Daphnia pulex: one gene and its partners. The protein of the gene in region 1 purifies or fractionates together with the protein of each later gene. This does not show direct contact. Links are inferred from orthologs where the notes say so. Each region holds a gene or a part of one and is shown in the gene's direction. Other genes may lie near its edges.

Region 1 (3,586 bases):
TTTATCTGATTCTATTAGCGTGAAACAAATCCAAGGTCTTTCCAACATGGTACCGAACAATTTCAGTCAGGTTTGTCCTAGACTATTGTGTCTAGTCGCGTGTGTTTAGCGTTGCCGTTTATCATTGTCAAATAATTTGTTATTTACGTGTCAGACATTCTACCGATTTTCATCTTGCTGATGTGTTTTTTCTTTTTCTTCTTTACAGTCACCTGACTCAAACAACAACATGGGAGGATCCACGGAAAAAATTACTGCAGCAACAGATTCAGCCGTTGTCACCGGCTCCTCCACCAAACATGGTAGCTCCACCTTTACTCAGTGCCGTTACGGCGCCAGTTGCCGGTAAGTGAAACAATACAAATTCCTGGCTTTCCGGTTATGTAACTTTCATTCAATTAACAGGAAGTAATGCAGCGGCTGTCTTGGCGGCATCTCAGCAAGCTTTAACCCAAGCTTTGGGTCCTCTACCGGATGGATGGGAACAAGCAGTTACTCCGGAAGGAGAACTCTATTTCATTGATCATCACACGAGAAAGACTTCGTGGTTTGATCCTCGCCTTCGTAATAGCAACTTCTTTTATTATTTTGTATTTATTTGTTTTTCCCCACTTGCTCGCCACGCTAATGTCTCGTTTCTGTTTGTTCCATCATCAGCTATTCACATGCAGAAGCCACCCATGGTACACGCCGCTGGAACACAGAGCGCTGCCGCCTTACAGCAACAACAACAGATTACTCAGCAGCCAGCTGCTTCAGGTGAGGCTTATTTTATGAAAACAAATCTCAGAAGTGCTGACGGTAAACATTCAATTTGATGTTTTTATTTTTATTTAATAGGAACTTCACAGCAAACTTTGACGCCTGCCCAGGCTGCCCAGCAACAATTGCGATTGCAAAGACTTCAGCAGGAGCAGGATCGTTTAAGACAGAGACAACAGGAAATTATAGCCATGGTATTTTAGTTCATGTGAAGGTGTTGTGTGATCTTTGTTTTCCATTGATGAATTCATTGCAGATGGAACGAGAAACTCGCGTCCGTCAGCAAGAAAACAGCACCGGTTCCCAACAGCAACCGGAGTTCGCCATGAGACGGAATCCTCTTCATACGCAATCGAGTAGCAACAGTGCAGCGGCCAACGAGCTTAGCTCCAACACGGTGGATCCTTTTCTTAGTGCAGCGTCGGCTGCTGCTACCGCCGCCGTTCCCCATACTTGCGTCAATGGAACAGGAAACGGAGCGGCCACAAATATCCCTCAGTCTTCGACAGCTCCACCTTCGTCATTGGCTACCGACTTTCATGCTCGTCAAGAGTCGGCCGACTCTGGTTTGGGTATGGGTGGCAGTTATAGCTTACCTCACACACCCGAGGATTTCCTCGCCTCTATGGATGACACAATGGACACTACGCTTGATTGTAATTTTGATTTTTAAAATTAGTCTTAATTTAAATTTTTAAATTTTTATTTTAGTTTAATTTTTCCTATATTATTCATTGTTTCACATCGTTGAGTTCACATTTTTAGTAACGGATTGTTTACGTTGTTTAGGTCCTGCTTCTGTTGGCACTGTCGATATGAACGACATGAACGACATGAATGGAGGATTAGAGGCTGGCGATCTACCTGCTCATATGGACACTACTGACGATCTCGTACCTACTTTGGATGTAAGAACATACATTTCACAATGTCATTTCGATTTAAAACAACAATTATTTTTGAACAGTTGGGAGAAGAGTTATCGACGGACATCCTGAATGACGTTCTTTTGAATTCAAACAAAGTCGACAACGTCCTTACTTGGCTCTGAAACAGCTCGTCTTGGTTGAATCCCAAATTTATAAATATCTTCTATGGAATGCCAATATCGTCGATGGTTTTCTTCAACACGTCTTGAAGTTTACGCATCTATTGGTTTGGCATTGGGCGTGATCAACTAACTTTTACATTTTGGCCTTAACCTTTAGTATGGGATTCATCTTAACGAATATTCAGAAATTGGCAATTATTTTGAATATGTAGAGCTAACGACTAGCGGTAGAGTTAATCAAAAACAATTCGGTTCTGAAAGTGCAAACGTTTTAGAGGAAGATTAGCTCACAATGCGTATTATGCATTGTCGTACTAGCTTATCATTTACGTATTAAGAGTTATTGTTGGGAAACGGAAGGAGGAGCTAACAAGATTTTCGATATTTGTTTCGTTTGATTCCGAAACCATCACTTTTTAAAACATATATGCAACTATGACTGTAGGTTCTTGTTCTAGGGAAGATGGTTCTAGGTGTAAAAAAAAAAAGATGAGATCCCGGTCCGGTCGCGCGCCCGTTCCAGTATCGTCGTCTTGAGAGAAACTGACGTGCCTATAAAACGTGTGAAGCAATAAGATGCCTGGGAATTCCCTCGTGTGTCGGTCAAAATTGTGTGTTCCTTTTCAATGCCTTTGAATTACCTGTAAATGTGCTCGTCAAATGATTCTTTCTGCATACCCTGTCCAAATGTTTTTGACAAGCCACTCGCAAACCGAATACGAAGCAGGAGATATATCATTTGAAAATGTCTTGGTGACCCGTCCCCCTGTATGGCCATGATTACTAGCCTTAAAACTGGATTTTTCTTGCGCTTCTCGCTCGTTCTCCATTATTATTAAATTTTTTTTTCTGATGCAGACAGTTAACTTTGCACCACCACTCTTGGCTTTCACGGACCTCGAGTAATTTAAACGGTCCAAATTGTGTGTAACACATGCCTTGAAGAAATGTCTTAAATTTCAGTGCCTTCATTTATGATTTGACGTTATCTGGTAGCTCGGATTTATCGTTTTGTTTTAACAAGGTGAAGTTGAGGGGGTTACAGGAAACGTTATTAACTATGTATAACTTCATTGTATTGGTGACGGGCGAACTTTTCGATTTATTTGATACATGCTAGTTTCCCCAAGGCCTTTTAAGTGTCAATTAGAATAGTGTCGTACTAGAATTATTACAATTAGAAACTGTTAAAATGTTGCTCCGAATGGCCTTATGCGATTTATTTCTCTCTTGTCTGTTGACTTTTGTCCATGAATACATCTTTCTACAAGTGCTGGAGTCTTTAAGGTCTATGCATCAATCATTAACGCTTAAAAAATTACTCCAATAAATAATCCAGCCAGAGAACCTCCGATGAAACCAATATAAAAGGCCTCGGAACCATCCGATGTTTTCTTGCCGATGAGTTTATGGTACCAGCTGCGCGTTCCTGCAGTTCTCTTTCGGAGAACTCGGCCAGCTTTTTCTGCTTGTTCGTCCAAATAGTCGGCAGCCTATGAAATCATGAATACGACACAGCCTATCAACTTATGTGAAATATGAAAAGAATAAACAAAAAAAAATTCTCCACTGAGGATTTATTCTTTAAAAAAATGTTTTGTCTTCGAGTGTGATGATAAAAGCAAGCAGAAAATAGCTATGTACATGGTCTCAACCCAGTAAATGAAAAAAAAAAATTCTTCAGTTGTTACTTCATATTTACATTCCTCCATTCTTCATACAGCTTAGCTTACCACAATGAAATATCTTAACTAAATTGAATGGGTGATTAAA
Region 2 (4,174 bases), on another chromosome or scaffold:
AGGTAATATGATTTATTACTTTTGTATATTATCAAATAGACACCAACGAAAATTTCTTCTGAATCTTGATTTTATGACTTGTCCGGCTGCATTCTAGTTTCGCGCATGATTAGTAGGCCTACAGCAACCTACTAATGTATCCTACCAAGTTACATTCCCTCTGATATTTTTCAATGAAAAAAGAATCTTAAACTCTACGATATGAGACTTTAATTTTTTTATTTCCGTTGGTGAATGAAATATTTGAAATAAGAATAAGAATAAACGCGCAAACATCTACAGATCATAGAATTGGAATTTAGAAAAGTGATTAGTTAAGAATAGTGTGTCGATCATAAATATGTCGACGTTGTTCTTGAACAGTTTTCTTCCACTTATCAGTAGTTTGGCCAACACGGTTGAGCACACCTGCTCCACTTGCCCTTAAAGGTTGAGAATGGGTTTCACTTTCATCCTGTAGGATAAATTAGTTAAAAAGATGATTGAAGGAAGAAAAGGGAGAAATTTATAGAATACCTCTTCATTATTATGTTCTTGATATTGTGTAGTGGTTTTCTTGTTGAGAAGGGGATCAAGACAAACAAGAAACAGCATGTATATGACTAGTAGAGATATTATCCAGATAACAATAATTACAACAACCTGAAATTTAAAAAAATTTATATTAGAATAGTCTACAATACATTATGTCAACAGTTTTTTTGCCTTGATTGTTGTTGTGTTCCTGCTTTCGTACTTGCATTCACATCGTGGACAAAATTCTTTTTCCTTTCCTTTGATATCATCCCCTACCCTTGGGAGCACAACATTTGTACAATCACATTTGTTAGGTGGAACATTTTCAATGTAAAGTTTTCTATGTGACTGAGTTCCGTTTACTACGGCGGTATCTGGACAAATGCACTTGCATCTGACATCCTCATACTGTGCATTCACCTATTAGGACAAAAACAAACAAAACCAAAATCATTAAATTTCTAAGCAATGTTTTCTTAATAGTAAACATAAAAATCAATACATCACTGATGAATGAGAAGATGAAAAGGACGAAAAAAGAAAGAAAGAAACTCTTTCGAAGTGTCATAATTGCAGCAAAATCCGATACTGATTTGTCGGAAACAAAACAGCTGACAGACTGTCGACCACAGCTTGTGGCGCCAACTGGTTTGCTATTTAAAAAAAAAAAGAAACATTGTTTTTGTTCAAAGAGGAAATGGGTCGTTAAACATGTATTACAGCAATAAAAATTTAAACGTTACTGTGGAATTGAAATTTAATTACTTATTCTTTTTAGTTCTAAATAAACTTTTCTCCATTTTCGCCACTTAGGAGCCCCCATCTGACAACACTGTTTTGTTCCTAGCGCGCCATCTCGAAATTCTACTGTTACCTAAAAACGTGCCCAACTCTGTCGGCTGCGAAGTGCGAACTGCGAAGTTTGGAGGACGTTGTACTCGAAGTAGTGGAAAAGATTGTGTTAAAAGAATCAAGAATTCAAACTATCTGAGTGCACTGGAAATTGGAATATATAGGTATGGCCCATTTCAATCTCATTTAAAATTATGAACTGCTAATGCTAATTGTGTTTTTTTTTGTGATTTTTCCGAAATCCCAGAAATCGTGGGACGTTCATTTTCAGAAGAAAACGATGGCGGATGATTTACCTTTTCGAGCAGAATATGCAAAGACGGGTCGAGCTAGTTGCAAGAAATGCAAAGAAAACATTCCTCAAGGCACTCTACGACTTGCTGTAATCTTTCAGGTAACATTTTATTTTTTATTGTTTGGTTCTGGACTTTGTACACTAGTACAGTATTGTTGTTTTAGGCTGCCAAATTTGATGGGAAAATGGTTTCGTGGTACCACTTTGATTGCTTTTTTGAAAGGCAACGGCCCAAATCAGCTGGTGACATTGAACATTTTGATCAATTGCGCTGGGAAGATCAAGAGAAAATTAATCAGATGCTCAAAAGTAAAACATTACTAATATTGCTATACATTGTATTTAGTTGATTTCTAACTATTTCCTTTTTCCAAAGAAATCAGTGAAGGTGGGATTGCTGAACCAAGTAAAAAAGGAAAAGGCAAGGGGAAAACAGCTAAAGTTGCTGAACCCTTTTCTGATTTTCTAATTGAGTATGCAAAATCTGGGAGAGCTGCATGTCGAGGCTGCTTAGAAAAAATTGCAAAAGTATTATAATCATTAAGTGCAAGTTCTAAAACGATCCATGTTCAAACATGTCTATAATGTTCAAATTGTAGGATGAATTGAGGATATCAAAGAAAGGATACGACACCAAAGGAGGCATGAGACATGGACAAATGTTGGATATGTGGTACCACGTCAAATGTTTTAAAGAGCGACGAGAAGAATTAGAATTTGTTAGCGGAGTGGATACAATCCCTGGATTTAAAGATCTAACTGCCGACGACAAAAAAGTTCTCTCAAAAGAACTCCCTGCTCTTTCCGCTAAGTATTGACAAGAATCGAAATTTGGAAAATCATGTATTATAACGGTTTCTTTTTTCAGCAAACGAAAAGTTGACGGGGATGCTGTCGACGGACCTTCGGATGCAAAGAAGATAAAGAAAGAAGAAAAAGAAAATGAACAGCTCAAGGAAGAGATCAAGAAGCAAAATAAAATTCAGTTTAAATACAGAGACCAGTTGGAAACTCTGACAAAACAAGAACTCCAGATTCTGCTGGAATACAACGATCAGCAAATTCCTTCTGGAACATCTGAAGTACTTGCACTTTTTATTAATATTTTTATTTTCTTCTGAGTGTTAATCAATATGTCGCATAGTTAAACTATATGCAGCTATTTATCTTTTTAGATGTTGGACCTTCTTGCCGATGTAATGGCGTTTGGAGCTTTGCTTCCATGCAATGAATGCAAAAGTGGACAGTTTTTCTACAAGTGATTAAAATAATAGAAATTTCAAGTCGGTAAGCCTTACCTATATAGATTTACTTCTTCTTCTACAACAGGAGTGGCATGGGTTATCAATGCTCTGGAAACATGAGTGGCTGGACGAAGTGCCCCAACTCGACAACAACTCCCGAAAGGAAACCATTCAAAGTTCCATCGGACCTCTCGGAAAATTACTCATTTTTGTAATAAGGCTGTTGTTGCCATACATTAAGTTACTTTCTAAACTTCATTCTTCTATAGGAAAAAGTACAAATATGTTCCCGGACAGAGGGTAATCCCAGCGCTAACTCGCACTATTCGTATGAATCCAACCGAAGAAGTGAACGTGAAAAAAGAAAAGTAGCTATTTACTCAACTAGATAACGTGCTAGTTCTGTCTATTAATGTTTTCTTTTTCTTTTAGATCCGATTCGAAACGCCCACCCACACTAGAAGGCTTGAAATTCATTCTTGATTCCAAGCTTGAAAAGTCTAAAGAAAAAGTCGAAGCTGAAATAAAAAAATTACTAGGTTCTGTAGGTTCGCGCGTTACCGAAAAAATTGCAGCCGTAATTTCTACGAAAGGTTAGAAATTTGAGTGGGTAGTTTCTCTTATGAGATTAAGCCTTTATATGTGGTATTACTGTTTTACAGACAATTTAAAAGAAAAGGATTCAAAGTTGAAGAAAGCGTCTGAACTCGGTATTCATGTTGTAGACCTTAGCTTTTTGGATGCAATCAAAGCAAGCACTGGCGAATCTGCCTCATCCATTATAACGAAGAAAAACATCGCACCATGGGATTGCCACAGTGTAAATTTTTTTTCTTTTATTGCCCTAATTTTTGAGATTTTTTAAAAACTGTAATAAATCTAGATCGAGAAGCGTCTTGGTTTGGACGAGTCGGGTGCCACGAAATCTTCTGGAAAATCGAAAGGCTCAGGTTGGTTGGACTGTTTATTACTTTTAATGTTTCCCAGTAAAAACTGTAGTATAAGTATGGGGGAGTCATACGCTTTAAACTTGCAAGTAAATCAAGTTCAAGGTCACAACTCAATCCTAAATTAATTGAGTCGTCTGATGACTATGAAGGGATCCAAGTCTGCCCTCATAGACAGATACGCGACTAACATATTTGTTGATTTATTTCACGCTAAAAACGAAGCTGAATCTCGTAACTAAATTGTGTTTTCGTTTGCAGAAAAATCTGGTTCAGGCATGTCCGATAAACTGAAGCTGAAACTTAAAGGAGGAGGAGTA
Region 3 (2,741 bases), on another chromosome or scaffold:
ATTGTTGAAACTTCATCTCTGTTTTGTGTGCGATGGTGGTTGGTTGTTTCTTCTCTGGCATCACTTTTGGTATCACTTTTCCAATCCATATCAGCCAAATCATTTTCAGGACTGATGACGGTAATGGAGCTGGAAACTGACATAGAGCTATGGTAACTTTCATTTACATTCGTTTCTTCTATAGAATCAGTCAGAACCACATGATCCAGCTAAATGACATGAAAATATAACAAAATACAATCAAATACTTCTTATTCCTGAACAACTTTATCATCTATTTATTTTCCTTACCTCATTGGGATTGCTTTTTTTTTCAAGGTCTCCTGCAGGAATGGATGTTTCAGTATGGGTGCTTAAATCTTTAGCTGTTGTTTGAAGTACATTTGAAACTGGGGCCTGAAAAACTGCTGCTATTAAACAAAATTACTTTATTATCAATCGAATGACTTGACACACACATGTTTAGTACTTTTTTGCTGATCTCTTTCAGACTTTGAGTCTGGTTCACTCACTACGACATCTTCTGAGCTTGTTCTGGTTTCATCAGGTGGATCATTTTCCTCTTTCACCAAATTGAAGGATTCAAAGAAGTGTCCAATAATTTCTTGAATGACAAATCATGCAACAGAACTTGTTATTAAATACATTCATCTATCATAGTAGGCAACTGAGATACATATACCATTTTCAATTGGTTTATTTCCAACAGCATCTGGATCTCTAATGTCAAGTGCTTTGTCTATGGTTTTTTGGGCTTCTTTTAGTGCATTTTTAGCCAAATTTGCAATGCTACTGGTATTGAGCCAGCTCATTTTCGATGTAGACGGTAGCCACGTCAGCAATAGCTTTCAGCTTTTAAACGACAAGCAAATATCCGAAAATTCCAAAAGTAATATCTCTCATAAGAATCTAATACAGAAAGCCCTATTTTTTAAATACTTGCCTCATAAACTATAATTGGGCCGTCATTAACACAAATCCAAAAAAACAAAACAATCAAAAGTTGTAATTTCTAGCAGACAAATGTCAGAAAGCTATTGCTTTTTGTATTGCATAACATGGTTGCTCAAAGCATTTATCTACCCTACTTTCGATCGAGTAAAATTTTCCAAAAAATAATTAGCATCGTCATCTATATGACTCTAATTTTCTAAAGAATTAATACAGATACTATGTCATCTTATAACTGGTTTTAAAAGCAATTTAAAATCTAGTCTGAACTCTGAAGGCAACGTGTGAAAGTACGCTCTACAGGAACGATATGGCAATGTTGAAGTTATCCATTTCTAAGACCGAGAAGTCCCATCAGAGTCTTTTCGCTTTGCCTTTGGTCAGTCCCCAAGTGGTAGAGAAACAATGGTAAAGACTAGCTCGTTTTCATCTAAAATTATCTTTTACATCCTGTATTTCTCAAATACTTTTTAGTAACGTGCTGATTTGGAGTGATTGTTGGATGTTTTTACTAATCGATGTATTGTAATACCTCTTTTTTCAGGGTATTGACATCAACCATAAGTACGACCGTAAAGTCGTCCGACGTGAACCGAGGTCTGAAGATGTCTATCTTCGACTTTTGGTGAAGGTAAGAATCATTGAAATTTTGTGTCATTGGACTATTTTGTAAAATCGTTTCGTTTACAGTTGTACAGGTTTTTGGCTCGTCGTACCAAGGCCAAGTTCAATCGCATCATTTTGAAGCGATTGTTTATGTCGAGGATCAACCGTCCACCACTGTCGGTGTCTCGCTTGTCAAGACATATGAAGAAAGCCGGAAGAGAAGGAAAGATTGCTGTTGTCGTCGGAACTTTGACAGATGATCCTAGGATCTTCAAAATCCCCAAGCTCACGGTAACTTTTTTAAAAAATTCATTTTGCAATATCGTGTCTTATGGTACATTCCTTCTTCAGGTGTGTGCTCTGCGTGCAACAGAGAGAGCTCGAGCTCGCATCTTGAAAGCTGGTGGTCATGTTTTGACTTTCGATCAGTTGGCCCTGCGTGCACCAACAGGCAAAAATACTATTCTTATCCAAGGGCGGCGCAAAGCTAGGGAAGCTAACAAACACTTCGGACCTGCTCCTGGTGTTCCTGGATCACACACTAAACCATTGGTTCGCTCTAAGGGACGGAAATTTGAACGTGCTCGTGGTCGTAGGTCATCTTGTGGTTACAAAAAGTAAATTTCTTCTTTCGAGAAGTTTTTGTATTGGTTATCAAAAGATTAATACAATGCTTGTAACCAACTTCCTCTAATTGGGTATGCACAAACTCTAATTGGGTATGCATAAATTTGAACATCAATGTTGTATTCAATGATGTATGAACACTTACATGCCACTTGTTTAAGTGGAAATATGAGACGTGTTACAGAACAGGCGATCGTAGTGTTCGAGTACATCATTTTAACAGTTTAGGGGTAAGAAAATGTAACTTCCAGGTGAAATAGTTCAAATAACTGGCAAACAAGACAACTTTCATGAAAATCGGATCAAGACTACAAATAGAAAGTTGGAACTGCATACAATGGACACTTGAAGTCTGGTAGCACACGAACAAATTGATTGCCACCTGAAAACTTGACACAGCACGAACCTTGCAAGCAGTGTCCTTTTACATTTCATTCCTAACTGTTTGGTGATACGAGATAAATATATCGCAAGTATATTAAGGGGAAGTTCAGGCGAAACGAGTAGACTACACTGCTTTAAATTGACGATTACAAAGACACAAGTCCTTTATATCG
Region 4 (3,600 bases), on another chromosome or scaffold:
AGGCGTGAATTCCGCAGCAATTTAGCTTGCTTCGGATTTCATCCACACGAATTTTTGAAGTTTTATTGTGGTGATAATTAGAAATGTTTTCCTTCAGAGAATTTTCGGTTATTTTGGAAAAGCGAAGAACCATTATTCCTCCCACAATTACGAATCCAAGATTTAGTAATACGAAAACCAGGTACTGAAGGCGAGCAGTGCGATGCAATCATTCATCGTAGCGAAATATTCCATTTAGTCAAAGGAGAAAGAAAATTACTCTAAAATCTTTTTTTGTTTTTTTTTTTTTATACAAACACGAGCTTACGCAAGATATCAGGCATTTTTTCTCGCCAAAGGCACCACACATCCCGAATAGGCTAAGAAATATGAGTAGACCGCTGACGGCAATTGCAACCACGATGTTCATAACCATATATTTGTCGTTTACCACCAAAAATTTCTGTTTGTCTGATCCTTTTGCAAATTCTTGACGTTGTACAAGTGACGACGCCGACAAGGAGATTAATACAATGCCGCTCAACTGCATTTCAAAGAATATGTCAGTATCATATTTTATGAAAAGCAATAACAAACCCAGTCTTCCAAACGCAACATTTAATTCGATAATTTCAACCATCTTCAGTTAAATTCTTTAGTAAACTCACGTTGGAATAATATAACTGTTAATATTTTAACAAATCTACAATTACATTGTAATAGAATAATATGTTTACCAGGATTAACAAGTTGAGGCACAAAAAACTCCATCGTAAAATCTTGTGGGAACGGAACGTAACCTCGTCCGTCATTTCCCTTTGACTGTTTTTCCAGTTACTATTTCAAATCGGAATGAAAGCCCGTGTGATAAGGAAACTTACTGTACCACTAACAGGAAACCCAAAATCCGAGTAAAAGAAAATACATTTGCAAACAAGCAATACAGCCGGAACCCAAACGGTATAAAAAAGTGACGTCTATCATTAATATCGTAATCCATAAAACCACGTTGACTCCACCAGTTGGTCTCACGCTTCGAAGTTTTAACTCCTGAGATGGTCACACGATTAAATAAGTAAATAACCAGAATAACCACTGCGGATCGCCTACTGTTCTCTAGGTTAAAGCCCAGCAGTGCGCAGTCAAAATTGTACGCGCGTGTATCCAGGTCGGATGTATATCACTCCAAATAACCTTTTCTTTTGCTTATTTCAATAAATTCTCTGCTTTAACAGCTCTAATTAATTTTCTTATCCTAATTTTCAAATTAGATAGGAATCGTTATGGCGTCTACTGCGCGTATTCATCATAGATTAAAATCTATTTTTATTGGATGGTAGATGGCGGTGAAAAGGTCTTTCCACAATCCGCACTTTACTTTACTTTCATCCGCATTTTATAGTTTATTTATTAAAAGCGTTTTTGTTGTTTTCCGCTTTAGTGTCAGAATATCTGACGTTAATTGGAATTGTGCAATTACGTTTTCGTATCTATTTTATGTGATAGTGTTGCTTTTTTAAATTCTTTCTCGATCCTACAGCACCCAATAGTTTCTTTTTTAGAGAAGAAAATGAGTGACAGAGAACACAAAGATCAGGGGAATAAGTTGTTTTTAGCTCGACGTTTCGATGAAGCAATTTCATGCTATTCCAAAGCCATTGTAAATTTCTTTAATTAAATTAAGCATAAATTATTTTGTTTTGCAACGCGTAAATCAAAGTAATTGTAATTGTTTTCTTTAGCTTAAAAATGGTTCTGTTCCACAATACTACACAAATAGAGCTCTCTGCTCTCTCAAGCTTGGCCGTTGGGATGCAGTAGTGCAAGATTGCAAAAGTGCTTTAGAGTTAGACAACACTTGGGTGAAAGGTTTTTAGTATAAATTCTTCAAAATACTCTGAAAATGCTATATATTGCTATTATGTTTAGGGCATTTCTTTCTGGGCCAAGCTTTAATGGAAAAAGAATGCTATGAGGAAGCAATAAAACATCTTCAAAGGGGTACTCATTTCCCCAACTTAACATAAATTTTGAACACATAAAATCTGATTATTGAAATTTGCTTGTTATTAGCCCGTGATCTTTCGATGGATCAGAAACTTAATTTTGGGGATGATATTACCAGTCAGTTAAGACTGGCAAAGAAGCATCATTTTACAAAGCAGGAGGAGAAAAGAATTTCACAAGAAATCGAACTACAGGTAGTCTGTTAATAACATTCTCTTTGTCCACTCCACTTTGCAAAAAATTATGATTCATTTGAAACTTGGATTTTATTTTGATAGATGTATATAAATAGGCTCATTCGAGAGGATCGAGATCGACAAATCGATTTGGTTAGTCAAGACAAAGAATACAGTTCAGTGGAAAACGAAATTTCGAACATAGAGAACGTCACCGTGAGCATATCTAGAGTATTTTTCTTGTTTCGTTAGTAGACTAATAATACTTGATTAAAATCGGTAGGATCGCTACCTGGCTGAATTGAATGACCTTTTCGCAACCGTCGATGACCGAAGAATGGTACTATAAATTATTCAACTGTGTGTTTCAGTACGTCTTATACCATTAAGAAATTGTCTTTGTAATTGTGTCGGTTAGAAACGTGAAGTTCCAGACTATTTATGTGGCAAAATCTCTTTCGAGATCATGAGAGATCCAGTCATCACTCCTTCAGGAATAACCTACGATAGGAAAGACATCGAAGAACATTTGCAGGTAAGTGAATTCAAAATTGCCTAGTAGATATTAGCCAAAAGATTTGTTTTTACGCAGCGAGTTGGACATTTTGACCCTGTGACGCGAGTTAAATTGACCAAAGACCAATTGATTCCAAATTTCTCCATGAAAGAAGTTGTCGACTCGTACCTGACCGAAAACGAATGGGCTCAGCACTACTAACCACTTTTTTAAGGATCATTCATTGATTTTGATTCTCTTAAAAACTCCGCCGCATTGTATTAAATGAAATCGATATATATTATGATTTGAATCGCCGAGCCCCAGTTGTGATGTTTCCTATCGGGTTGGATGATAATCAGGAAGTAAATGTTGCTATACAGTCTTTCGCTATTGATTGCACATTGCTGTTGTACTTCAATAGACGATGCTGGAAATTTTATATATACCTGATTATGAACCTCCTATTAAATTTGATTTTATTGGGATCAGAGTTCGCCTTGAGCAGATTCTACACCTGTAGGATTGCTCCAATCTTTCAATAGGTTATATTCTTTAGACTAAATTATCGTCTCCTCTGACAATTGTTTGTGGGTGATTGATTTTATTACTTTAGCCAAAGGCAATTGATGATTTGCAGCCGAACTCTATTGGTACGTTTCCTTTCATTAAGCACTTAATTGAGCTTGGCGTGGTTCGTTGTGGATGTGGCCAAGGACAATTGTATCAGAGTTGGTTAAGTTGGTCATTAATCAGGGGGGTCGACTTGAACGGACGGTACTATCGATCCTGGTACAGCACGGGACTGGACCGATATTCACTTAAATTATAATAAACGTCCCATGGGTAAATTGTGTTTGCCACGTCGTCAACTACAGTTATTATCTTATCAGCACTCTAGAGAGAAGTCTGTTGTGTATCTTGCAGTGTGCATACAAGGGC
Region 5 (4,223 bases), on another chromosome or scaffold:
AGTCGTGGACGTTGAATCCTTTGATGGAATCGGGCGACAAAACATTGGCCAGCTCCTCGTCCAGCAGCAGCATTGTCCACCGCCCCAAAGCCAGCCGGAATGGTGGAGGTCCGACCCATTCCATCGGCAACAACAATAAACAACAACGTCAGCCACAGCAGCAGCAGCAGCATTCAGCAGAATCCTCGCCTCCGGATCATTCAATAGCCGTCTAATCTATCGCCGGACACATTTCGCCTCTCCTCCAACTCCTCCGCCGGAAATCCTCTCCTCTTTGTGTGTGTTTGTATTTCCCCCCTTTTATTCCCGAGCTGTATATATATTCTCTCAACACTCGACACACACACAGACAGACAAAGATATGCACTTTTGGAAATTGAAATCGATTTATTTGGGGGCCTGTTGTTATGCCTAGAGCAGCGCCCAAGGATTATGGAAACGCGTCAAATACACACCAAACTGACTGTACACAAGTCTCTCTATACATTCCGCTCGCAAAGCACACAATGGCTTATCTTTCTAGATCCATCGCGCTCCCCTTTTATATATTTATATAATAATAAATACATAAATGGATGGAAGATAAATCTACAGATTTATTCCTCGCCCGTGAATGCCTGTGCCAAATGGTCCACTAGGGCGAATCGGCTTTATGTGAATAACTTTTGGCCGGAATAAAAACGTGAAAAGAATTTCAAAGAATGTCAAAATAAAATGTACTGTCGTGAGTGCCGGACTTGGGAGCTTCGGCACGACTCCTCCGGTTGGTATTAAGCTGCAAGTGTGTGTGTGTGTGTGTGTGTGCCGGACGAGCAAGTTTTTCGGGAACGATAGGAAACACGCTCCAAGTGCGCACCGGGAGAGAGAGCGTGTAGTTTAGTTTTGGAGGAAGGGAAGGTGGGGGGGTGGGGGTGGGGATAGAATAGTTAAATACAAAAGTGGGAGGCCGCGCCGGGAGGGAGTGCTAACGAGATTAGACACGGAGGTGATTTGTGCAGCCAGTCCTGTGCACTGTTGTGTTGTGTATATGACAACGTCGGAGCCCGAATGGAATGCGGGAGACTAGACCCGCCTTTTTGATTGGGTTTCAGGCCCTAGCCTAGTCTGGCGCCCAACGATTTTGGTCGGTTTCCTTCAACCAACGCCATCTGGTGGCAGACATTCACAACTTTTATTTCATTCCAAATCAAATTTCTTACGATTGAGTTGCGAATAAACTTGAAAATCAAGTGGATTGAATGGAATTTAATTATTTCAATTCTTTAGTAAAGTGAAACCCGATTAAAGTTGATTAAATTGAAATTCTTATAGAAAAAGGGGGCTGGAACAGTGTTGCCAAATTCGGCCGCAGAGCGCTGCGTGAGGTGGGGGCCCAGCATTGGAATTCGCATTTAAAAAGTCGGACCTTCGCCTTGCCATACGAAAAACAGGTGCATTTTGTGTTTCATTCACTCCCGTGTGTGTTGGCTTTTTTCGAGGGGAGGGCGATCTTATGTTGGAATTCAAGTCTGTTTGATTTTTTCGTTCCTTTTTCCTTTGTCACCTTATTTGCTTTTCGTTTTCGGTTTAGTTGGCTTTTTTCGACGGTAAGTGTGACTCGTTTTGACAGCACGTTTTTTCGTTTCCCCATTTGAAATTGCGATTGAATTCCTTGTTCAAGGTTTCGCGGAGGTGAATAGCCGCCTCTGATTATAAAACGCTGTGGGAATGCCCGTGACTTCAGGTGAGCTCAACGAGTGTAGTAACCATTGTTGGAGTGAGCTAATTTTTCTTGTTCGTTTTGACTCTCTTGATCGCAGATGCCAAGAGGGCTCTGGCTCTTCTTGAGCGAGTACAGCAAAAAGTTACAAATAACGATGCAGGCAATGGTGTGGCTTCCCAGGTCCAGACGGACTTGGACCTCCTCACGAGCCTCCTGCAGAACCCTGTGCTCAGGAACATCCTCAAGCTGGAAGACTCGCTTGAGGAATTGAACCAACATCTGATGCACCACCCGTCCCTGCTGCCAAGTGATTTTGACATCGACAAATCAGGGACCCTGGTTGTCAATCAAAACATCCTCCAGACTAATCGTTCATCATTCAAGACCAAAGGGGGGAAGTCGAGCCCTTCCCTGAGCAACACCAGCTCGTCCAAGCAATCCACAGTCTCACCAGAGACCCACAAGAGAGATGTGGCCAAAACTGGAGCCGCATTTCAACAGTCCATCCTGCAGGCAGCTGCCAAGAGAGAAATCATTGCCATTCAGGTATAAGAGAAAACAAATACTATTGAGACATCACAAGGCATTTTGGCCCCCATTGCGGTGCCGTGTTGTGCAACTCGTCCCTTTCATATTCGCCAAGTCAATTGTTCCTTGAAGATTGGAGCGCCCTTACTTGGTGGCTAGTAAAAGAAATGAAAAGGATTCACGCACACACAAGACAAAAAGCGAGTTGTATCCAATCTCCTTTTTGCGGTTTCCTGAAAGAGGAGGAAGGAGAGGAGGGGGGCGCGTGCTTTTCGGTTCGAAACATTGATCAGCAGAATTTGATCGAAACAGAGCGTGTAATTTGGTCTTTTGACGTGGTGCGTGAAAAGAGTCCCCAGAGTTTGAAGTGAGATGAAGAGCACTCGTCCTCCTTGGTCCTCGACCTCCATTTCAATTGAATCAATAAGTCTTTCTTCTCTCTCTCTTTGCCTTTGTTCCCCCCTCCTACCATCTTTTAAAAAACATGGGGAAAAACACAATTTTTTAAAAAACCTTCTTTTTTTCTTTCTTTCTCTTTTATAGCTGAACAAGCCGGAAGGACAAAGCTTGGGATTCAGCGTCGTTGGATTGAGATCAGATCACAAAGGAGACTTGGGTATCTTCGTTCAAGAGATACAACCAACCGGAATCGCTGGAAGGTAAGAAAAGATCTTATTTCATCAGTCGTGTGTACATCCTCCTTCTCCACCACTCAGCAACAACCGCACCAATTTCTTTTTTGATCTCGACAATGAAATTCCGCTACACATTTTTTCTCGGGAATCAACACACACAAACTCTTCCGAATTTTTCCCCCCTTATTTTTGTTATTTACTCCGCGCGTTGGCCAGAGTAAACAGGAGCCTTGTCTTTTATTTATTTATTTTTCAACGGATAAGATCCAGCGGCGTCTATTGACTCACACACACGCTTAGCTGCTGAGCTGCTCCCTTTTATTTTGAGGTCGAATTCGAGTAGCGGGAAAATCCTGAGCGTACACAACATTCAAGTTTCAAATCGTCCAACGTGGGGCGCTGAGGTCGGCCTCCTCCATCGCCGGATGAAAAAAAGGAAGAAAAGGAGTTGAGAGGCGACGAGAGGGGAAGATTGGCTTGCATGGCGCAGACTCGGCGGACGCAGCCATCGGTCTGGATGGCAGTCGAGCTCCAAGTTCTTGAGCGATCGGGCTCTGCGATAGCGTCGACATGCCGACGCCCGCCGACGTCCTCGCACCGCTCACATCTCACGGATTGTTGTTCCCCTTGTGATTTTTTACCCATTTCCAAAAAAAGAGAAAAAAGAAGGATTTCTCCTTTCCCTTTTGTCGTGTGCCCAATCACCACCAAGTGAAAAAGAAGAAGAAATCGCCAGAAAATAACTGTGGAGAGCCTCTTCGATCGCCCTTGACTCTTTTGTGTGTGTGTGTGGGTCTGTGAGCGTCTAGAGAGTCGTGGTCTTTGACGACCGTCTCGAGTGTTGGGTTTTATTTTTCCTCGTTGCGGAAGAGATAAAATTCGTCGTCCTCCTCCTCATCGTCGTCGTCGTCGTGTGTGTCATTGTCGCTCCCCCCTCGCTGATAGCCTGGCGCCAAGTCTTCCCAACAAGCTCCTTCATCTATTGATCTCACGGCTTTCTCTCTCTCTCGTCTTACGGTCAATGGCGTTGAGAGAACATCGCAGGCCGTCCTCATAGCGGCCAACACACATCCTCCTCTCTCTACCAAAGAGACTCAGAGTTCCTCCAGGGGGGACCGTGGGAGATTGAACAGCCCCCCGTCTCTTTTCAAATCCACGCGGGGCTGAATCCGACAGTGTCATCATCTACAAGGAAGGAGAAGAAAAGAAACACACACACACGAGCCCCAGAGTTCTTCTTCTTCTTCTTCCTTTTAACACACACAAAAAAACTCGTGTTCTGTTCTGCGCTCACCCCCATCCAACAACTGGTGGAAAGGCAGAGAGAGAGCACCGATCGATAGGTATATTCTTTTTCT
Region 6 (4,039 bases), on another chromosome or scaffold:
GTGCATACATATCTTCCCTATTAAACAAAGATTAAGATTTATAGTCTTCAGATGAGAAATAATTTGGTTTAGAAACCTTACCCAAGATTAAACTTGAAATTGAATTGCCAGGTAGTGTACCCAGAAGGTGTTTTGCCGTCTTTGTTCAGGAAACTCAAGCCCAGTTGTATGATTTTCAGAAGATCTACATTACACTTTAAAAGCTGGTATTGGTAATCAGCAGGGCTGCGAAATTCACCGATGGGACGGGCAACTACTCCTGGGAACTCAGTATCCATGGCTACATAATTGTATGCTTGTACAATCTGGCGTATATGTCTAAATTCGTCTTCCAAATTGTGAGCCCAGACTTCCCGAATCCCACACTCTTCATTACTAGGATGCATATTTCCTATTTAAAAAAGTAAAAGTGTAAAAATCATTGTCCTAGAAAGTTGATTTAATGAAATAAATAAAGCTAGTTACGATTTATACCAGTTGAAGTTGGCATGGCTATGGATAGTGAAGTTTCAGAAACCCAGTGATCACACTAGATTACACAAAGAATCAAATTCGTATAAACTAGCATATCCAGCAGCACATCACTCGAGCCTTCAAAACAATAAATTGATAAAAGAACCCTACAATTAATTCGATATTAACACCACTAGGTTAAATTTAAAATGATATTTGACACATCGACTCAGTGGGAACTTCACCTGAAATGTTTTCCGAGTTTTACAACAGCCTCTATATATATACAGTGGTGCCATCTTCGAAAATAGCGATAGATTGTTTGACAGAAAAAAACAGCTGACAAACGAAATGCGGCGATAGCCCCTTAATAAATAAAGCGCGAAACAAAATACGGAAAAAATATGGAACGAGTGAACGACAACCCTAAAACGTCAAATTGAACTGCGGAGCGGGAGTTTTCGTTCATTACAAATGTTGAAAACGCAAGACAAATCGATTAACAAAAGGACATATTGACATTATTCAATACTCACAAGTAATTATGTTTTTCAAGGAGTACGTAAACCAAAAATACTTGCCTTTGTAAGATGCTAACTTGCTCAGAGTAAGAACTCTAAAATAGGTTGTAAACAAATTAATTGGAGACTAACTTCAAACCGTACTTCCAAATTCGATCGTTGGTTCCAATCTAATAATCTGGCGGAAGTAATGCCAAACTTAATATTTTTGCAGATATCGCACGCAGGTAGGGCCTATATGATGTTCAAGTTGAATCTTTTGCATGTACGTTCCGCGTTTTAGTGTGACTCCGAGGCGACGTCCAGCGGCAAAGGATCAGGTTCGTCTAAACGGTTTCCAGCTACACCTTTCTTCTTTCTGCCACAGAGAGAAGTCCTCGTGCTTGTGGTTGAACGTAATTTTGCAAGTCAGAACCGAATCACTTCAGCCGGCTATCTAAAAATGGTACGATATTCGTCATTTCTCGTTTATTTACTTGTCTGTATCAAAGTCGCAATTCACTTTTCAATAATCAATTGTGAAAAGTCGGTTTTTTTCTCTCTTTTATGTTTTAATGGCGTACTGTCATTTGACAGAAAGTCACATGGTTGATATGTAAATTTGCTCATACTGAATTTTTTCTTTCTGAGTAAATGGAACCAAATGATCATGTAATCTTTTATAACTTTATGTATTTTTTAGGTCTCACTCAACCCAACCAGAATCTTGAAACATGAGGGTGAAGAAGAGAAGGCTGAAATTGCTCGCTTGTCCTGTTTTGTTGGTGCCATTGCCATTGGTGAGCTGGTGAAAAGCACTCTTGGTCCTAAGGGCATGGACAAAATTCTTGTTGGTGTTGGCCGCAATGAAGGACAAGTAGGTTTAAGATTTTTCTTGTGCTTGATTTTACTTAGTCATTAAATTCCTTTGTTAGGTTGAAGTAACAAATGATGGTGCCACCATTTTGAAAGCAGTTGGAGTTGATAATCCTGCAGCTAAAGTCCTTGTAGACATGTCAAAGACCCAGGATGCTGAAGTTGGGGATGGCACAACTTCAGTGACTGTCCTGGCCTCAGAGCTTTTGCGTGAAGCTGATAAGCTTGTTGAAATGAAGTTCCACCCTCAAACCATCATTGCTGGATGGCGTAAGGCCTCTCAGGCTGCCAAAGAGGCTCTTACTAATGCAGCTATTGATAATGGGTAAGATAGACATAATAGTTTCATTTTGCACAAAAGACCAACACAACATGTATTTGATCAATGTATTGATTTTTTTTAAAATCTCGTTTCATTTATAGGAAAGATGAAGCTAAATTTCGCGAGGATTTAATGAACATTGCTCGAACGACTTTGAGCTCAAAAATTCTTTCTCAGCACAAAGAGTTCTTTGCCAAGATCTCTGTCGACGCAGTTTTACGTTTGAAAGGATCAGGTAACCTTCAAGCTATTCAAATCATCAAAAAGCAAGGAGGTACCCTCACAGATTCCTTCCTCGACACTGGGTTTCTGCTTGACAAGAAACCGGGAGTCAACCAACCAAAGAGGGTTGAAAATGCCCGTATCCTTATTGCCAATACACCCATGGACACAGATAAAATCAAAGTAATTTAAACTTCGATGACTATCAAAGAATTTGAACTTAATCCATATTTTTAGGTTTTCGGCTCACGTATCCGCGTTGATTCCGTTGCTAAAGTTGCAGAATTAGAGTTGGCTGAGAAAGAAAAGATGAAGGAGAAGATTGAGCTCATTCTTAAGCACAATTGCACCGTCTTTATCAACAGGTTTGTCATTCTTTCATAATTCTTTCATTAATTTGAAATTTGCTATCTTATATGGCTTCAGAAATTCTTTTGTTTGTTTATGAAATATTTGAGATTCTGTCAGTTAGCTTATTTATTATCCATGTATTCTAGAATTTCTGTAGTAAATTTTATAATTTATGGTTGATTTTTAAATCAAAAATTTTTTATTTGTGTGATTTTATAGACAATTGATCTACAACTACCCAGAACAACTGTTCGCTGATGCCGGTGTTATGGCTGTGGAACACGCCGACTTTGATGGTATCGAGCGCCTTGCGTTGGTAACTGGAGGTGAAATCGTCTCTACTTTTGGCCATCCCGAACTTGTCAAACTTGGACGCTGTGATCTTATCGAAGAGGTTGAGCAACTTTCACTTTCTGGTAGAAAGAAGAACTCACGTAATTTGTTTTTTAGGTCATGATTGGTGAAGACAAATTGTTGCGATTCTCTGGCGTTCCATTGGGTGAAGCTTGCACACTTGTGTTGCGTGGTGCAACCCAACAGATTCTTGATGAAGCTGAACGTTCAATTCACGATGCTCTGTGTGTTTTAGCTTCGACTGTTAAGGAAACACGCACCGTCTACGGTGGAGGTACTATTTTTGTATTCCATGTTATCCGTCGTGCACCTGGGATTTTACCATTTTATTTCAAAATCCCAAGGTTGCAGCGAAGTACTCATGGCCATGGCAGTATATGCTTTGGCTGCCAAGACTCCGGGTAAAGAATCGATGGCTATGGAGGCTTTCGCCCGCGCTCTTCTCCAGCTACCCGTCGTGATTGCCGACAATGCGGGCTATGACTCAGCCCAACTTGTGTCAGAGCTCCGAGCAGCACATTCAGAAGGGAAAGCCACCTTTGGTCTAAGTATGTCGTCAGAAAATCTTCATGTTGCACATGCAATTCTAAAATGTGTTCATTGATTGTAAATAGATATGGATCTCGGCAAGATCGACTGTATGCAGCAGTTGGGCGTGACTGAATCGTTCGTTGTCAAGCGCCAGGTGCTTGTATCAGCAGCTGAAGCGGCTGAAATGATTCTTCGCGTTGATGACATCATTAAGGCAGCACCTCGCCGTCGTGAACAAGACAGGAGTCATTGTTAAAGTTGCACTGTCGATGCACAGCTTACGTCCTAACTTGAACTCGCATCCAGTTTTTTCCCCCCTTAAGTGGTCCGCTCTTTTTGCTCGAGCCCACTCTTTTGCTTCGTCCTTCTGTACTGGTCCTATAATCTACTACAGCTGATACACTGAACAATTGCTTAGTAAAAGAAGTTA

The links. Proteins that work in one complex are often made in the same cells at the same time.
Region 2: the proteins of transcriptional coactivator YAP1-A-like (region 1) and poly [ADP-ribose] polymerase 1-like purify together in Homo sapiens (affinity purification with mass spectrometry, with the first as the bait; 3 studies listed by BioGRID). This does not show direct contact. The link is inferred for Daphnia pulex from reciprocal best matches to the Homo sapiens genes YAP1 and PARP1.
Region 3: the proteins of transcriptional coactivator YAP1-A-like (region 1) and 60S ribosomal protein L18-like purify together in Homo sapiens (affinity purification with mass spectrometry, with the first as the bait; 4 studies listed by BioGRID). This does not show direct contact. The link is inferred for Daphnia pulex from reciprocal best matches to the Homo sapiens genes YAP1 and RPL18.
Region 4: the proteins of transcriptional coactivator YAP1-A-like (region 1) and E3 ubiquitin-protein ligase CHIP-like purify together in Homo sapiens (affinity purification with mass spectrometry; 3 studies listed by BioGRID and IntAct, with this or other methods). This does not show direct contact. The link is inferred for Daphnia pulex from reciprocal best matches to the Homo sapiens genes YAP1 and STUB1.
Region 5: the proteins of transcriptional coactivator YAP1-A-like (region 1) and multiple PDZ domain protein-like purify together in Homo sapiens (affinity purification with mass spectrometry; 6 studies listed by BioGRID and IntAct, with this or other methods). This does not show direct contact. The link is inferred for Daphnia pulex from reciprocal best matches to the Homo sapiens genes YAP1 and MPDZ.
Region 6: the proteins of transcriptional coactivator YAP1-A-like (region 1) and T-complex protein 1 subunit beta-like purify together in Homo sapiens (affinity purification with mass spectrometry; 3 studies listed by BioGRID, with this or other methods). This does not show direct contact. The link is inferred for Daphnia pulex from reciprocal best matches to the Homo sapiens genes YAP1 and CCT2.

What each region holds. Positions count from the first base shown.
Region 1 is NC_060025.1:6,891,490-6,895,075, reverse strand, and holds the end of transcriptional coactivator YAP1-A-like, read left to right. Parts: intron 1-208; coding exon 209-345; intron 346-405; coding exon 406-759; intron 760-840; coding exon 841-956; intron 957-1,018; coding exon 1,019-1,418; intron 1,419-1,551; coding exon 1,552-1,670; intron 1,671-1,729; coding exon 1,730-1,813; 3' UTR 1,814-3,086; downstream 3,087-3,586. Other genes in the region: FUN14 domain-containing protein 1A-like, read right to left, coding at 3,124-3,306. UniProt on the Homo sapiens protein: Transcriptional regulator with dual roles as a coactivator and corepressor. Critical downstream regulatory target in the Hippo signaling pathway, crucial for organ size control and tumor suppression by restricting proliferation and promoting apoptosis.
Region 2 is NC_060024.1:8,492,887-8,497,060, forward strand, and holds the start of poly [ADP-ribose] polymerase 1-like, read left to right. Parts: upstream 1-1,374; 5' UTR 1,375-1,532; intron 1,533-1,615; 5' UTR 1,616-1,648; coding exon 1,649-1,762; intron 1,763-1,827; coding exon 1,828-1,972; intron 1,973-2,039; coding exon 2,040-2,191; intron 2,192-2,262; coding exon 2,263-2,474; intron 2,475-2,531; coding exon 2,532-2,745; intron 2,746-2,838; coding exon 2,839-2,921; intron 2,922-2,992; coding exon 2,993-3,118; intron 3,119-3,176; coding exon 3,177-3,275; intron 3,276-3,339; coding exon 3,340-3,500; intron 3,501-3,569; coding exon 3,570-3,727; intron 3,728-3,790; coding exon 3,791-3,857; intron 3,858-4,115; coding exon 4,116-4,174. Other genes in the region: uncharacterized protein CG1161-like, read right to left, coding at 311-454, 517-642, 706-936, 1,019-1,084. UniProt on the Homo sapiens protein: Poly-ADP-ribosyltransferase that mediates poly-ADP-ribosylation of proteins and plays a key role in DNA repair.
Region 3 is NC_060017.1:4,092,350-4,095,090, reverse strand, and holds 60S ribosomal protein L18-like, read left to right. Parts: upstream 1-1,255; 5' UTR 1,256-1,356; coding exon 1,357-1,359; intron 1,360-1,495; coding exon 1,496-1,582; intron 1,583-1,641; coding exon 1,642-1,848; intron 1,849-1,908; coding exon 1,909-2,178; 3' UTR 2,179-2,241; downstream 2,242-2,741. Other genes in the region: TATA element modulatory factor-like, read right to left, coding at 1-209, 292-410, 470-604, 683-812.
Region 4 is NC_060019.1:9,014,910-9,018,509, reverse strand, and holds E3 ubiquitin-protein ligase CHIP-like, read left to right. Parts: upstream 1-1,353; 5' UTR 1,354-1,549; coding exon 1,550-1,639; intron 1,640-1,721; coding exon 1,722-1,848; intron 1,849-1,908; coding exon 1,909-1,980; intron 1,981-2,052; coding exon 2,053-2,180; intron 2,181-2,264; coding exon 2,265-2,378; intron 2,379-2,445; coding exon 2,446-2,502; intron 2,503-2,580; coding exon 2,581-2,697; intron 2,698-2,754; coding exon 2,755-2,880; 3' UTR 2,881-3,100; downstream 3,101-3,600. Other genes in the region: CD82 antigen-like, read right to left, coding at 1-184, 308-523, 717-791. UniProt on the Homo sapiens protein: E3 ubiquitin-protein ligase which targets misfolded chaperone substrates towards proteasomal degradation.
Region 5 is NC_060026.1:2,899,295-2,903,517, forward strand, and holds the start of multiple PDZ domain protein-like, read left to right. Parts: upstream 1-1,423; 5' UTR 1,424-1,586; intron 1,587-1,660; 5' UTR 1,661-1,707; coding exon 1,708-1,723; intron 1,724-1,799; coding exon 1,800-2,248; intron 2,249-2,773; coding exon 2,774-2,889; intron 2,890-4,223. Other genes in the region: Down syndrome cell adhesion molecule-like protein Dscam2, read left to right, coding at 1-215. UniProt on the Homo sapiens protein: Member of the NMDAR signaling complex that may play a role in control of AMPAR potentiation and synaptic plasticity in excitatory synapses. Promotes clustering of HT2RC at the cell surface.
Region 6 is NC_060023.1:8,135,619-8,139,657, reverse strand, and holds T-complex protein 1 subunit beta-like, read left to right. Parts: upstream 1-1,239; 5' UTR 1,240-1,416; coding exon 1,417-1,419; intron 1,420-1,656; coding exon 1,657-1,830; intron 1,831-1,888; coding exon 1,889-2,154; intron 2,155-2,252; coding exon 2,253-2,556; intron 2,557-2,610; coding exon 2,611-2,738; intron 2,739-2,943; coding exon 2,944-3,118; intron 3,119-3,174; coding exon 3,175-3,352; intron 3,353-3,422; coding exon 3,423-3,626; intron 3,627-3,692; coding exon 3,693-3,865; 3' UTR 3,866-4,035; downstream 4,036-4,039. Other genes in the region: CCR4-NOT transcription complex subunit 7-like, read right to left, coding at 1-17, 82-391, 466-490. UniProt on the Homo sapiens protein: Component of the chaperonin-containing T-complex (TRiC), a molecular chaperone complex that assists the folding of actin, tubulin and other proteins upon ATP hydrolysis.